2 linked regions of the Pelodiscus sinensis genome follow. The protein of the gene in region 1 purifies or fractionates together with the protein of each later gene. This does not show direct contact. Links are inferred from orthologs where the notes say so. Each region holds a gene or a part of one and is shown on either strand. Other genes may lie near its edges.

What was found. Proteins that work in one complex are often made in the same cells at the same time.
Region 2: the proteins of USP4 (region 1) and PRPF3 purify together in Homo sapiens (co-immunoprecipitation; 4 studies listed by BioGRID and IntAct, with this or other methods). This does not show direct contact. The link is inferred for Pelodiscus sinensis from reciprocal best matches to the Homo sapiens genes USP4 and PRPF3.

What each region holds. Positions count from the first base shown.
Region 1 is NC_134721.1:46,560,158-46,567,402, reverse strand, and holds the start of USP4 (ubiquitin carboxyl-terminal hydrolase 4), read right to left. Parts: upstream 3,115-7,245; 5' UTR 3,066-3,114; coding exon 2,959-3,065; intron 1-2,958.
Region 2 is NC_134734.1:21,135,204-21,143,053, reverse strand, and holds the start of PRPF3 (U4/U6 small nuclear ribonucleoprotein Prp3), read right to left. Parts: upstream 3,077-7,850; 5' UTR 2,920-3,076; intron 1-2,919. Other genes in the region: MRPS21 (small ribosomal subunit protein bS21m), read right to left, coding at 5,477-5,657. UniProt on the Homo sapiens protein: Plays a role in pre-mRNA splicing as component of the U4/U6-U5 tri-snRNP complex that is involved in spliceosome assembly, and as component of the precatalytic spliceosome (spliceosome B complex).

The DNA of each region.
Region 1 (7,245 bases):
GAACAGTTGAATTGGCCTTCTCTATCCACCTGAAATGTGCCATCAGAAACCTGCCCTGCAACCCATCTTTCTGAGGCTCCACCACTGGTGACTCAGCCCCTTAAGCAGGCAAAGCCCAGGCCAGGAGTACAGGGTGTCAGCCAGGAGCTGAGACCCGCCTTACTCAGCCACTGGCTCCACTCTTACAGCAGGACACAGAGCCACATGCCAGAGGCCTGAAAGCACCAGCAGTGCCACTCAGCCTGGCCCAGCTCCGCTCCCCAGCCCCAGGCTCGCTCTCCAACCTCCCCCCCCCCAGCTCCGCTCCCCGGCCCCAGGCTCGCTCTCCAACCTCCCCCCGCCCCCCCAGCTCCGCTCCCCGGCCCCAGGCTCGCTCTCCAACCTCCCCCCGCCCCCCAGCTCCGCTCCCGGGCCCCAGGCTCGCTCTCCAACCTCCCCCCACCTCCGCTCCCGGGCCCCAGGCTCGCTCTCCAACCTCCCCCCGCCCCCCCAGCTCCGCTCCCCGGCCCCAGGCTCGCTCTCCAACCTCCCCCCACCCCCCAGCTCCGCTCCCGGGCCCCAGGCTCGCTCTCCAACCTCCCCCCACCTCCGCTCCCGGGCCCCAGGCTCGCTCCCCAACCTCCCCCCCCCCAGCTCCGCTCCCCGGCCCCAGGCTCGCTCTCCAACCTCCCCCCCCCCCCCAGTTCCGCTCCCGGGCCCCAGGCTCGCTCTCCAACCTCCCCCCACCTCCGCTCCCGGGCCCCAGGCTCGCTCCCCAACCTCCCCCCCCCCAGCTCCGCTCCCCGGCCCCAGGCTCGCTCTCCAACCTCCCCCCCCCCAGTTCCGCTCCCGGGCCCCAGGCTCGCTCTCCACCCTCCCCCCCCCAGCTCCGCTCCCCGGCCCCAGGCTCGCTCCCCAACCTCCCCCCCCCCAGCTCCGCTCCCCGGCCCCAGGCTCGCTCCCCAACCTCCCCCCCCCCCCAGCTCCGCTCCCCGGCCCCAGGCTCGCTCCCCAACCTCCCCCCCCCCCAGCTCCGCTCCCCGGCCCCAGGCTCGCTCCCCAACCTCCCCCCCCCCCAGCTCCGCTCCCCGGCCCCAGGCTCGCTCTCCAACCTCCCCCCCCCCAGCTCCGCTCCCCGGCCCCAGGCTCGCTCTCCAACCTCCCCCCCCCCAGCTCCGCTCCCCGGCCCCAGGCTCGCTCCCCAACCTCCCCCCCCCAGCTCCGCTCCCCGGCCCCAGGCTCGCTCCCCAACCTCCCCCCCCCCAGCTCCGCTCCCGGGCCCCAGGCTCGCTCCCCAACCTCCCCCCCCCAGCTCCGCTCCCCGGCCCCAGGCTCGCTCCCCAACCTCCCCCCCCCGCTCCGCTCCCCGGCCCCAGGCTCGCTCTCCAACCTCCCCCCCCCCCAGCTCCGCTCCCCGGCCCCAGGCTCGCTCTCCAACCTCCCCCCCCCCCAGCTCCGCTCCCCGGCCCCAGGCTCGCTCTCCAACCTCCCCCCCCCCCAGCTCCGCTCCCCGGCCCCAGGCTCGCTCCCCAACCTCCCCCCCCCCAGCTCCGCTCCCCGGCCCCAGGCTCGCTCTCCAACCTCCCCCCCCCAGCTCCGCTCCCCGGCCCCAGGCTCGCTCTCCAACCTCCCCCCAGCTCCGCTCCCGGGCCCCAGGCTCGCTCTCCAACCTCCCCCCCCCCAGTTCCGCTCCCGGGCCCCAGGCTCGCTCTCCAACCTCCCCCCCCCCAGCTCCGCTCCCCGGCCCCAGGCTCGCTCTCCAACCTCCCCCCTCCCCAGCTCCGCTCCCCGGCCCCAGGCTCGCTCTCCAACCTCCCCCCTCCCCAGCTCCGCTCCCCGGCCCCAGGCTCGCTCTCCAACCTCCCCCCCCCCAGTTCCGCTCCCGGGCCCCAGGCTCGCTCTCCAACCTCCCCCCCCCCAGTTCCGCTCCCGGGCCCCAGGCTCGCTCTCCAACCTCCCCCCCCCCCAGCTCCGCTCCCCGGCCCCAGGCTCGCTCCCCAACCTCCCCCCCCCCCAGCTCCGCTCCCCGGCCCCAGGCTCGCTCCCCAACCTCCCCCCCCCCCAGCTCCGCTCCCCGGCCCCAGGCTCGCTCCCCAACCTCCCCCCCCCCCCAGCTCCGCTCCCCGGCCCCAGGCTCGCTCCCCAACCTCCCCCCCCCCAGTTCCGCTCCCGGGCCCCAGGCTCGCTCCCCAACCTCCCCCCGCCCCCCCAGCTCCGCTCCCCGGCCCCAGGCTCGCTCCCCAACCTCCCCCCGCCCCCCCAGCTCCGCTCCCCGGCCCCAGGCTCGCTCCCCAACCTCCCCCCACCCCCCAGCTCCGCTCCCCGGCCCCAGGCTCGCTCTCCAACCTCCCCCCCCCCCAGCTCCGCTCCCCGGCCCCAGGCTCGCTCCCCAACCTCCCCCCCCCCCAGCTCCGCTCCCCGGCCCCAGGCTCGCTCCCCAACCTCCCCCCCCCCCAGCTCCGCTCCCCGGCCCCAGGCTCGCTCTCCAACCTCCCCCCCCCCCAGCTCCGCTCCCGGGCCCCAGGCTCGCTCTCCAACCTCCCCCCCCCCCAGCTCCGCTCCCCGGCCCCAGGCTCGCTCCCCAACCTCCCCCCCCCCCAGCTCCGCTCCCCGGCCCCAGGCTCGCTCCCCAACCTCCCCCCCCCCAGCTCCGCTCCCCGGCCCCAGGCTCGCTCTCCAACCTCCCCCCCCCCCAGCTCCGCTCCCCGGCCCCAGGCTCGCTCCCCAACCTCCCCCCACCCCCCAGCTCCGCTCCCCGGCCCCAGGCTCGCTCTCCAACCTCCCCCCCCCCCAGCTCCGCTCCCCGGCCCCAGGCTCGCTCTCCAACCTCCCCCCCCCCAGCTCCGCTCCCCGGCCCCAGGCTCGCTCTCCAACCTCCCCCCCCCCAGCTCCGCTCCCCGGCCCCAGGCTCGCTCTCCAACCTCCCCCCCCCCAGCTCCGCTCCCCGGCCCCAGGCTTCCCCTCTCCAGCCCCCCTCACCAAGACTCGCCCGGCCGCAGCGCCATGCCCAGCAGCGGCCCCAGCTCTGCCCGCTGGGCCCCGACATCCGGCATCGAGCCCCCGCCGCTCTCCAACTCCGTCGCCATATTCGTGCGCGCAGCACCGCCCACCCCCCGCGGCGGATATCCGGCCTGCCGGGCGCATGCGCAGTGCCCTCCGCCCGGGCGGCTCTTCTAGCCCTGAGCATGCGCATTAACGTGCGCTGTGGCGCTGCCCGGCCTGGGCATTCGGCCGGCTCCCTGTGGCGCCGCCGGGGCTGAAGGGCGCGAAAGGGAAGGGGCGGGGCGGGGCGGGGCGGGGCGGGGGGCAAGTTCCCCTTCCAGAAGCAGAGAGGCTAATTTACATATCAACGGTAAGAAGCCGTTTGGCTCCTAGTTAGAGGCTGCGCCGCTAGGAGGCGCAAAGTCTGTGCCTCCGCCTCACCGCGCAGCCGCGTTACCCGCCCGAGGGCGGCGCCTCACCGCGCAGCCGCGTTACCCGCCCGAGGGCGGCGCCTCTCTGCGCAGCCGCGTTACCCGCCTCAGCCTGTGCCATGTGGGTGGAGAGAGGCAGCCCCCCCCCCCCCCCCGGTGGTCCCAGATCGTTTCCGGGCCCGTCCCCAGGGCGCCGGATCCTTCCCGCAAACCCCATTCGTCCTGCCCCTCCCCCATCGTTGCCCTCGCCCCGCCGTGACGTTACGTCCGGCGAGTGCTGCCTTTGCGGCAGGGGCGCGACCCCGCCGCTCGGGGCCGGTAGCTGAATGCGGCCCGCGGGCCAGACGGGTTGCGGCCCGCGGGCCAGGCCTTGCCCACCCGCGTCCTCGCCCCGCTCCCCAGGGCCCAGGCTGTCTGGCCGGGGGTTGCCGGGATCACTCGGAACTCTCCCGTCCTGCATTTCCCTGGCGGGCTGCTTGTGCCATAAACATCCTGCGGGGGGGGGTCTCTGCAGTGTGGCTGGTGTAAGAGAATCTGGACTAAACTGACTCGGGTCTGTTCCACTTCAAGTCACGTTCCTAAAAGAGCACCCATGAAATGCGTTGCACACCCCAGGGTGCGGGGAGCGAGTATTTCTTGACCAGAACCAGACAGTCCAGATTCCACCATACTTCAAAAACGCCCTTGCTAAACAGTTTTGAAATCTGCACCAATCATAGCCTTATGTTGCCTTCTGCTTCATTGTGAATGCTAAATACAGCAGCTGCTTGGTGCTAAATGCTGCACAAGCCAGGACATAATTGTTTTACACCACTGAATGCACATTCCCGCTCATTGTGCAAGCTACATTTGAAATCGGTCTAGGCTGCCTGCTCCTGATAGCCCAAAAATACCCTTAGCATCACTTATGTTACAGTAAGAGGTGGAGACTTACGTGAAAGAGGAAGACACTTATCAGAGTTAGGCAACTATAGCACCACATACTAGCACAGAAGCCTTGCGCAGTCTGTGCAAGAGACAGACATCCTGTTTTACACCAGAAGGAGTGACAGTTGAGCAACATTGTGGCAAACACTGCAACAGTCATTTCTTCAGCCCAATGCGAAACTGGAACTGACAGTCAGATCCACTGCCCCTTAGGAACTGGCTTGCATGAGTACAGGAGAGGCAGAGACATGCTCTGGAGAATGCAGAACCATTTAGAAATGTAGCAGCTGAAGTGGTTTCAAAGTTGGGTGGGAGCTGGATCTAGCCCCCCAGCTTAATCTGATCCAACCCACAGCAGGCAGGCAGCCCCCAGCCTCGGGTGCCCACACTGGGCTGGTGCCCACAAAGCACACTGAATTAAGTGAGAGTGAGAGACAGGTTTTTTTATTCTTGTGTGTGGCCCCAAGTTGACTTTTCTGTGTGTCACTGGCCCTTGGCCAAAAAACATTCCTCAACCTTGTTCTGAGTACACCTTCCTCCTCTCCCCAAGCCAACGGGTGCTGGTTTGTGTTTGACCCACCTCAGCTCACCTGTACTGAAGAGCCTGTTGCCCCGGGCTTTGTCATAGGCTTGTTGCAGCGTCTCTGTGCACAAGGGTTAGAAATCACAGCCAAATACTGGGACTAAGCATGGCCTCCTTCCCTCCCTGTAGGGCGCAGGTGGCTTCTCTCCACCAGGAATTGGCCTGCTCAATTGTATTGACAGGCAAGCCCTCCCCCACCCCTCAGAAAAAGCCATGAACATAATTTCGCCGCTCCCGGTACCAGTCCCAACACACTGCTGCTGGGTACCTTGTTACTGTCCCTTCTTCTGGGCCCCTGGCAGGGTGCAGCTTGTATGTGGCTTGGCAGAGCAGCTCAACCTGTTTTAACTCTTCTGGAATGTTGTGGTAAACTCGCACAGCCCCTCCACGGGCACGTCCGGCAGTATGGGAGAGTAACACTCCACTCAAGCGACACGCCAGCCCCCCGGCCAGTCTGGTGAGTGCACACAACAGTTACACCCGTGCAGCTATCTGTTCACCCCTTATCTCCCACTGCCATTCTCCATGTGCACAAGCCCCAAGTGAGAGCAGAGGGGACGTATCTGTCACTTCCTCCAGGCCACGTCTCCCACGAGCTGTGGTCCCACGAGCCCCGTCACAGACCAGAACATGTGTGAGCCACTGTTGAGCCTCACTCCCCATTTGAAGCAAAGGTTTGTGCGGCATTCTCTGCCTCCTGAGCAGGTCAGAACAAGCTGCTATGACAAATACTTGTAACACCCAGCACAAGCCATGCTGAATTCAAAGTTGCAGCATTTTGGCAGTTCATTGTACTACCAATGGAAGCGTTACTGTGGGGTGACCTGGAAACACCTGGAAGACAGGATTCATGCCACCTCCGACAAGTACTGGAGTATCGCTCACACGCCGACACAGACATAACTCATCGTGGAGACAATTCGAGTGAATTGGACTTCGGGGGCAGATTGCAAACTCCCACGCGGGGCTCAGCTTTTGAAGTTACACCCTCCAGGGGTTGGGCGGGGACAGGACCCCAGTCTGCTGCTTACCTTGTACAGAGCACTTTGGAGACCCGCTCAGGAAGGAGTTAGCTGGTTCTTGTCCGGAGCACGAGGAAAACCTGCAGGTGGTGTTTGAACGACTTCCCTGGTCAGAGGCAGGTTTGCTGGCAGGCAGTGGGGGAGGGGGGGGGGTGTTCCTGGTAACGCTGTTACCTTCGCAGTAATGGCCCGACAGAAGCAGCTGGGGAGGGGGGGCACTTACAGGGGTTCCTGTCACTGAGGAGTGGACAGCAGGCTGCCTTACAGCCAGGTGTTGCTGGGGAGGTCACAGTCCAGGCAGAGTGCTGATCCATCTGGAACCCCCAGGCCAGGCAGCCGAGACACATCTTCCCGAGGAGCCCAGGATGGGGGTCCTGGCTGGGCCAGAGGGGGTACAGGCCCAGCACAGAATGGGTGCCAGCAAAGTTGGAAGCAAGCTGGCATGCCCCGGAGTGACACACTGAGACGGGCTGGCTGGGGGCAGGGCTCTGGATGTACAATTTAGATGAATGGGCTAATCGAATAGTCGGTGCAGTTTGCATCATATATTCGATTAGCCGATAGGCGCCTCCGCCTGTGAAGAGAGGCAACAGTCCCTGGGCTGCTGCTACGCGTCAAATGAGAAAGCGCTGCGGGGAGCAGGGGCTAGTGAGGCAGTCTCCAGCTGGCCCCGGGCTTCACGCAGTGTTTCAAAGTGGCAGCACCGTGTGGAGCCCGGGGTCTGGTCCCAGAGCCCGTGCGGTGCTGCCACTGTGAAGCACCCCCTCTTTTTCCCCCCTTTGCTGCCTCGGAGAGATGCAGCAAGGGGGTGGGAAGTGACTAGTCCTTCACATCCCTAGTTCCTCTGTCCCAGCCAGCCTGGCACCCAAGCAGTTGGGCAGCCCCGGGGACCCATTGTCCTGCAGTACAGGAAATGCACACCCAGCCCTGGGTCCCCCCAATCCCAATCCCTGAAGCCCCCACCCCACAACTCTCTGCCCTGAACCCCCACAGCTCTCGCTTGACTCCTGCACCCACCCACCCACCCCCAAGCACTGCACAGCTCCCACCCCCTGCAATGAGTGCCCCCCACTCACGCTCCAGCTCCCTGCCTTGAACCCCTGGCACTCGATCCCACACATTTCCACCAGGTGCTGTCCTATCACACACACCCCCAACCACTGCCCTGACCACTGCAATAGGACAGAACCGGTCAGTTCCCATCACCCCGATTGGCCAGTGCTATAAATTGGGTCAGACCAGACAGGATGGTTAAAATCTTTACAACCACGACAGTGCAACGTGGCCACCCCTTCTCCATACAGAAGCCATGAGACACTAA
Region 2 (7,850 bases), on another chromosome or scaffold:
CCTCCCATTTCCGACCCATCTCCCAGGTCTCCATGTTCTTTACTTACCTGTGGGTTTTGGTCACCTGCCCCCGTCAAACCTAGTTTAAAACCCTCCTCACTAGGTTAGCCAGTCTGCATCCAATTATGGTCTTCCCCTTCCTCAACAGGTGAACCCCATCTCTGCTTAGCAGTCCTTTCTGGAACAGCATCCCATGGTCAAGGAAGCCAAAGCCCTCCTGGCAACACCATCTTTGCAGCCAGGCATTCACCTCCAGGATGCACCTCTCTCTTCCTGGGCCCCTACCTTTGACAGGAAGGACTGAAGAGAATATCACCTGTGCTCCAAATACCTTCATCCATACTCCCAAAACCTTGTAGTCACTCTTGATCTGCTCAGTGTCACACCTTACAGTAACATTAGTGCCCACATGGATGAGCAGCATGGGGTAGTAGTCAGAGGGCCAATAATTCTCGACAATGCCTCTGTAATGTCTCAGATATGGGCCCCTGGCAGGCAGCATACCTCCTGAGATGAGATGTCAGAGTGACAGATGGTCAACTTCATCCCGCTCAGAAGCAAGTCTTCAACCACCACTACCCTACGATGGTCTCATACAAGAATGATGCATTCACCAAAATACAACATACAGATCCAGAAGATGGCAAAATTAAAACTGATAAGCTACATGAAGCATTTTGTTCAAAGCATCCCCAAGTTATGCACATTTATATTCATAAGCCAATGTTCATAAAATGGACAGGGAAAGACCCATCACAGGGCTGTTCTCACTTTCAGGTAACATTATAAACAAGAAGTGGGCAGCATTATCTCCTGCAAATTGTAAACAAATTTATTTGTCTAAGTGATTGGCTGAACAAGAAGTAGGACTGAGTGGACTTTTAGGCTCTAAAGTTTCACACTGTTTTATTTTTGAATACAGTTTTTTTTTGGGGGGGGGGAGTACATAATTCTAACATTTGTAAGTTCCACTTTCTGGATAAAGTGACTGCATTACAGAATATGCTTTAGGGATAATTGAAAAATACTGTCTCAGTTTAATATAAATATTTGCACTGTAAAAAATTACAGCCCTAGAAATAAGTTAAGCGCTCTCATACATGAGTGGAAAATTATACCAAGTTCTGCAACTGAAAATTGTGCACATAAGACAAGCGTGCCCCTCGCCCCTCCGCACAACCACCCCAACTACTTCTTTCTGAGAAGCAACCTAGTACACATGTAACATTTTGGGCGGACAATTCTTACCTTAGTTATAAAACTCATTTGCACACTGGCAAAGGTTAAAACCCACACAGACACCTTTTTCTGTTGGTGGATAAAAAAATGTACCCAGAATGAAAATAAATGTGAGACATGCCACTCCACCATTGTGTGTGTACCTTTGTCAGGTCAGCAAGGGAAGCAGCACAATCTAATGGTTAGATGGAAAATGGGAGGCACGAGTCCTGATTATGATGCATGATTGACTGAGCATTGTGTGAAGAACTTATGGTTTACACCTGCTGCTCAGTTTTTGTTGGTAACCCTTCCGTCTTGTGTACTCACCATACTATTATCCTCCCTAAAAAGGCACTGGTGTTACATGAAGTATCCAGAAGATAATCAAACCTAATACAACCTCTTTTAATAGTGTGTATTTGCCTATGATGCATAGAGAAGCGACATTATAAATGGCAACAATCCCTCTTGAGGAAACCATCACTGACAGATTGATGGGACTGCCATCCAAGTCGAATTTATTTTGAAAAAAGAGCCACTCCAGGTCTTATTTCTAGGCTAGATGCTGGAGAAAAACAACTCTTTATATAGCACTTTCTCTCCAAAGCACCGCACTGTTTTTTTTTTCTTTAATCACCATACTTGCGTGAAACAAGTCAGCAGTATCTAATTTTTTAAATGAGGAATCTTGAGACAAGTCAACTTCACTTGTGTGAGTCAGTCTAACAGCATGGGCAGCAAAGCTGAGATCAGAAACCAGGAGCCTTAACTCCCAGTTGCCTGCCCTCTAAAGAATGGGTACGCACAACAGAAATAAAGCGTGCACATCTGAATGCTCCCTGATCTGAGCTAAAATAATACTGGCATTCTAGAAGAGCTGGAGATTGTTTATTTTGAGGTAGATGCACAAAAACTGAGTCTGCTCAAAGACTTTGGAGATTCCCTGAACCATTCATTGAGATGTTTTAACTTAAAACATAGGGCTAATTCACTTGCTATCAGTCACCAACAGGAGCACAGAGGCGGGGAAAGGAACACAGTGATGAGACTGGATTACCAGCGATGCTCCAAGCCAGAGCACACAGCACAGTGCCACACATACAGGGCACTAGAGTGTGTGGAGCTCTCCCGCCTTGGGGCGAAGGGGAAGATGGTTGGGAAGGATGCAACCTTCCCACATGATGACAAAGAAGAGGGCGAGGAAAGCCACATGAGGAAGGTTCCCTGCACTGCCCAGAAGATCGTTTACCAACGTAGCCGGACAGGCAGAGCGGAGAACCCCCTGGCCAGCGGGGGGAGGGGCCGTTCCCTGGTCCCCATTAAAAGGGGGCTGCTGTCCTCGCCACAGGACATGGGGGAGCAGGCTGGGAGTGCCCACGTCCCAGGCCATGGGGGCCCGTGGCTGCCACAGGAATGGGGGGGGCCGGGAGCTCCCCCCTTTCCCCGCGCAGGAGGGCCCGTCAGTTCCACAGGAATATGGGGGGGCGCAGAGACGGGGAGCTCCCCCTCCCCCAGTGCGCGGGGCTCGCTATCACGGCCACAGGAGCACGGGGGGGCCCGTGCGGGTCCTTCCCCGGGGCACGCGGGCCTCCGCGCGCGCACACGAGGCCTACTCAGCCCTCGAGCCCCGGAGCACGCGCCCGCGCCCCGCCGCCAGCCCCGCGGCCTGCCCGCGCCCCGCCGCCCGCGCGGCCTCACCTCAGCGCCGCCCGGCCCCGGCCCCGGCCCGAAACTTCCGCGCCCCGCCGCGGCGGCCTGGCTGCGTCGACTGACGGAGACGGAACGTTGGGGCGGAAGCGGAAACGGCCCCGAGCGAGGCGGCCGCGCGGGGAATCGGGCACCCGCACGTGACGCGGGAGCCTCAATCCCGGTGGGGGAGGGAGTCACGTGACGGAGAAGACGCGCCTCCCCCGTGCTCCTGAGCCCCGCGGCTCACGTATCACGTGACAGGGGTGAGGAGAGGGGGAAGCAACGGAAGTTGTGTTACGTCACATGCCGTTCGTGCTCTAGTGCCTGGGCAGTAGCGTGGGTGCGCGGAGGTAGAGGTGGGCGGGGCCAGGACAGCTGGGGTCCTGCCCCGCCCCCCCGGGGGGCAGAAGATCCAGGGGGGCTGGGATCCTGCCCCCCCAAGGGCCCGTTCCAGGCGCTGGAGGGAGGAGGAGATGGGGGGGGGACAGGCCCCAAAACCAGGGGGGCAGAAGATCCAGGGGGGCTGGGTTCATGGCACAAGCTAGCTCCCTCCGCCCCCCTGCCCCGCCCAGCCAGGAGCCGGAGGTTGGGGGATTCAAAGGGGCTGGGGTCCTGGCCCCATTGCCCTCCAAGAGCCAAATTCAAGAGGTAAAGGGCAAAGGATTGGATGCTGGCACCCAGCTTTTGCCAGGGCTAAGTAGGGAGGGGAAGAGAGTGAGGCAGGGCTGAGCTGAATTCGTGATCTCTAGCTTCCCCCTGAGGCAGACACATATAGGAGAAGACGGGGGGTTTGGTAGAAGCCTGCCCTCATGGCACCAGTCAGATATGGATTGGGTGAAATCAGCACTTTGCTGTGTTGTGCTATCAATCAAATCACCTTCTTATTTCTTCTGTGGTCTTCTTGGCCATGTCTCTTCCCCAAGCAGCAGGAGATGAGAATGTCATTGCACCATGCCAAAATGTCAGTGCAGTGCGCTCTGTACACCTGACACCTGCAGTTACCACATCACAGAATGTGCCAGAACTCCATCGTGGTGGAGTCCCCCCCAGCACACCAGGGAGACCCGGAGCAGCTTTTCTCGCCCCGGAGGACGCGGTGGCGGGACCGCTGCGCTCTGGGCGGTCCCACCGCCCGCGAGCTCCGGGGTGAGAAAAGCCGCGTTCGTAAGTGCGGATCCGACATAAGTCGGATCCGCGTAAGTCGGGGACTGCCTGTATACTGCTATCCAAACATAGCCTCTGTAAAAGGGATCTCTGACTGTACTCCACAAAGGACTTAAGTCGCATAGGATTGGCTTATTTCTAGCTGCCAAATCACATTAAAGGATATTTAAACAGAACTTAAATACTTTCCACACTGAAAGTTTGAGGGCCTCAGATGGGTTCTTGGAGACAAGCCTTTTATTTTTCCATGGGAGACAACTAATATTAGGTGGATCAACTACTGTGTATTTTTATACAACAGGGAATTGTGGAAAATGGCGCACAATGAACAGTAAAGGGTGTTATAAGATACTACACATGCGTAAAACTGTCAGAAAAAGCATGGCTATGTGAGAAACAAGATTGCACTGAGGAAAGCATTTCCAGACACAGGGACAGGAGGGTGTGAAAATTGTATCTGCAGTGGTAACGTCAATATTTCCCCACATGATTAAGAGGAACTTTAATAAAAATTGGAGATTATTAAGTGGAAACTCCACTAAAAAAAACTAAGGTAAAACACAACAGAAGCAGAATTATTCACCCAGGAATCTAAGGACTTATTTTAGTTTTTTACTTTCAATTTGGCAATGTAAAAGGACCTCGAAGTGGACATAGATATGTTTGCATTCACTTTAAGGCTTCTTAACGCTACAGAGCTGAATAATGGGACTGCAGTATAAATAAAATTAAGGCTGTGAGCCCCTACAGTCTTAAAAATAATTTGCAAATGATGTATATGAATTCCAGAATCCACATTATTTGCTGCCAATCAAGCGTAAAATAAAGGGAAGGTGAATGAAAATATTTGTGAGCATCTTTATTCTGGAATAAATCAAACCTAACTCAGGTTTTTTCCACTTTTTTCACAAACTATGCCAAGTAAGAGATTATAATTAGAGCCCTGCAGGGATACAACATTTGGATCTGTATCCATTCACAATCCAAAAAAACAGGCCACAAATATCTGTGGATTTGCAGAGGTCTAATTATAATGAGCAGCAAGCACTATTTAAAGGAATCATTCATAAAAGGAAATATATTAAAACCTGAATTAATATAGTTTGCTTATGTCTGTCACCCAAGAACAGCAGGACAACATGCTAAAATGCATACTTTTATTAACAGATAGGCACAACATAGTAATTGTTCAGAAGCTGAGAGATTTGATGGTATGATGGTCTTCAATCCTGCCCTGGTGGAGAAGAGAATTCAGTCTCCATGGCCCATTCGCTCATTGGCCTCTCAGTTGACACTAGCAACGAAGAGATCAGCTATGACAGTGGTGTGGGTTTTGTTTTATGTTTGCTTGTTTGTTTTAAAAAGAAGTTACAGTTTTCCCAGCTATTGTAATTCTTGGGATCTAAGAACCTAGCCAGGGGTCCGGTCGATTCTTCCTCATTAGAAAGCCAATCTTCCTGGCCATTTCTGCATTATAAATCCGCCGGCATGTCTCATAGGTCTCCCGCTGCCTCTTGCGACATGGTTTCTCATAGTACCGGCGCCGTCTGGCATCTTCAATGATCCCATCCATCGTTAGAATTCTGAGGAGATTAATCAATGTCATTTTGAATTCCTCTACGGCCTTACATTTGAGCACAACAAAGATTTTAACAAATATTCATTTGTTAAGTCTACATACCGTGAAGTCAATTGTCCACACAGGACAGCGGGAATAGAATCTAGAAGTCCCATCTTTCCGCCCTCTGCTCCAAACATTTATCCACACTCCCTCCCAACGAATGGCACCAATAGAGGATTTCAGCACAGTAGGCATAATTTATTAAACAGCGACAAAAGTAACCCTTCCCAACTGCCTCTCATTACAGATGATGCTCCTTTTCCAGATTCAGATTTGTCTGCAACCCTGATGTGTTCTAAACTGTTTATTTCTATAAATCATTAATGTCAGAAACATCAAGTGAGAAAACAAAGGGAGACTTCAGCTAGAGAAATCCCGCCCCCCATAATTTTCACGTTCCCGATATAAAACGTTATTCCCTGGGCCTCATTTTGGGGTTTGTCTTCTATGTTGCTGCGCTTGGCACATTGAGAAATAGATGGAGGAAAATCAAATCCCTTTAAAACGTTGCTATTAAACTATCTGGTAGCTGTGAGAAAAATGGATTAGTAGGACTGTGGCAGCTTCCTCCACGCTCTCCTCTCTATAGGCTGCAGGCTCAGACGTGCTATTCAGAAGAGGACAGTGGTGCAGAGATTAGGGAAGGTACATGGAAGTCTGATCTAGACATTACTGCAGGCAATAGACTCCTATTGCATCACCATAGAGTTGAGGAACCTTTTACCCACAACATGACGCATTTTATAAGTAAACAGACTCAGCTACATGAAGACCTCAATAAGGCTGCTTTCCATACATGTCACTGAATGCAAGCAATCTGTTTCAGCTGCATTCCTCTGCAAAGTTATTCATGGAAACGGTCTGAACGACATAACTGTGGCCAAGCTGTCCGTTATAAACAAGCAGGACTCTGTCTTTCCCCATACTGAGCAGTGCCCTTCAGTAGCGTTACTTGCCATGTCAACTTTCATTCCCCTTCTCTTACAATGGGACTACTACCAAAGTTCAGGTAGTGGCTTTCAATCGTTTCCCACATCTTTTAACAGAATAAGAGTTAAGAACTGGGAACTACGTTTCCTGACTGCCAGAAGTGGAGACAAGTTGCTAAGAAGGAGTACAAAAGAATAGCACAGGCATGTAGGAACAAAATCAGGACCAGCCTACACTAAAAACTTATATTGATATAAGTCCATTGCTCAGGGGTATGAAAAATCCACAATGTCAGAACAATATAAGTAATATCAATCTAACCTCGCCTCCCTGTATAGACTGTGTTTAGTCAATGGGAGAGCATCTCCTGCTGATCTAGCTACCGCTTCTCACAGAGGTGGATTAACTCTGCTAACTAGAGAAGCTTTTCCATCAGCATAGTAGCATCTTCACTAAAGCACTACAGCTGCACTGAGGTACCTGTGCCATTGCAGCGCTGTATTCGAAGTAGGGATGTAAGTGACTACTTGGGTAGTCGAGTCACTACTTGCCTACTCGCTCCACCTCTCCCGCCTCTATCCCAGCCTGCTGCGGCTCTGCTTTTTAAGGGTATTGAGAGCTGCCTGGCTCTTACTACACTTAAAAGACAGAGCCACAGTGGGGGACCTACCCTGGACCTACCCCCAGTGCAGCTCTGCAGTTTTAATGTGGCAGGAGCCAGGCTGCCTGTGCGCCTGGCTCTTAGTACATTTAAACTGCACAGCTATAGCTCATTGACATGGGCTGCCATGCACACAGGCTGCTCCTTGGCAGCCTCCCCGCAGCAGCCTCTGTCCATAGGGAGCTCAGACCCGAGGACAGGGGTTGCTGCCACCCCGCACTGCTGCGTCTGTATCAGACAGCAGTGTGGGGCAGCAGGCAGGCAGTCTGCATGGGGAGCTGGTTTTTTTAATTGTTCTATAGGAGCATAGAGACTCCTTCAGGCACTAGAGGAATGTATCTGTCATCACAGTGAGTCAAAGACAGGCATCAATCTCAATAGAAGGCTTAGATCTCAATAGCAATAAGAGAAGGTCCATCTTTAGGCTGAGGCCAGTCACTCAGCCTAGCAGTTTGGAAGTCCAATTTTACAACATGCTAAGCAAGGAGACTTCTACCATGTTCACAACATGTTCTCATCTATATCATGTTCTCACACTGTTTGATTACAACCATGCTTAGACAT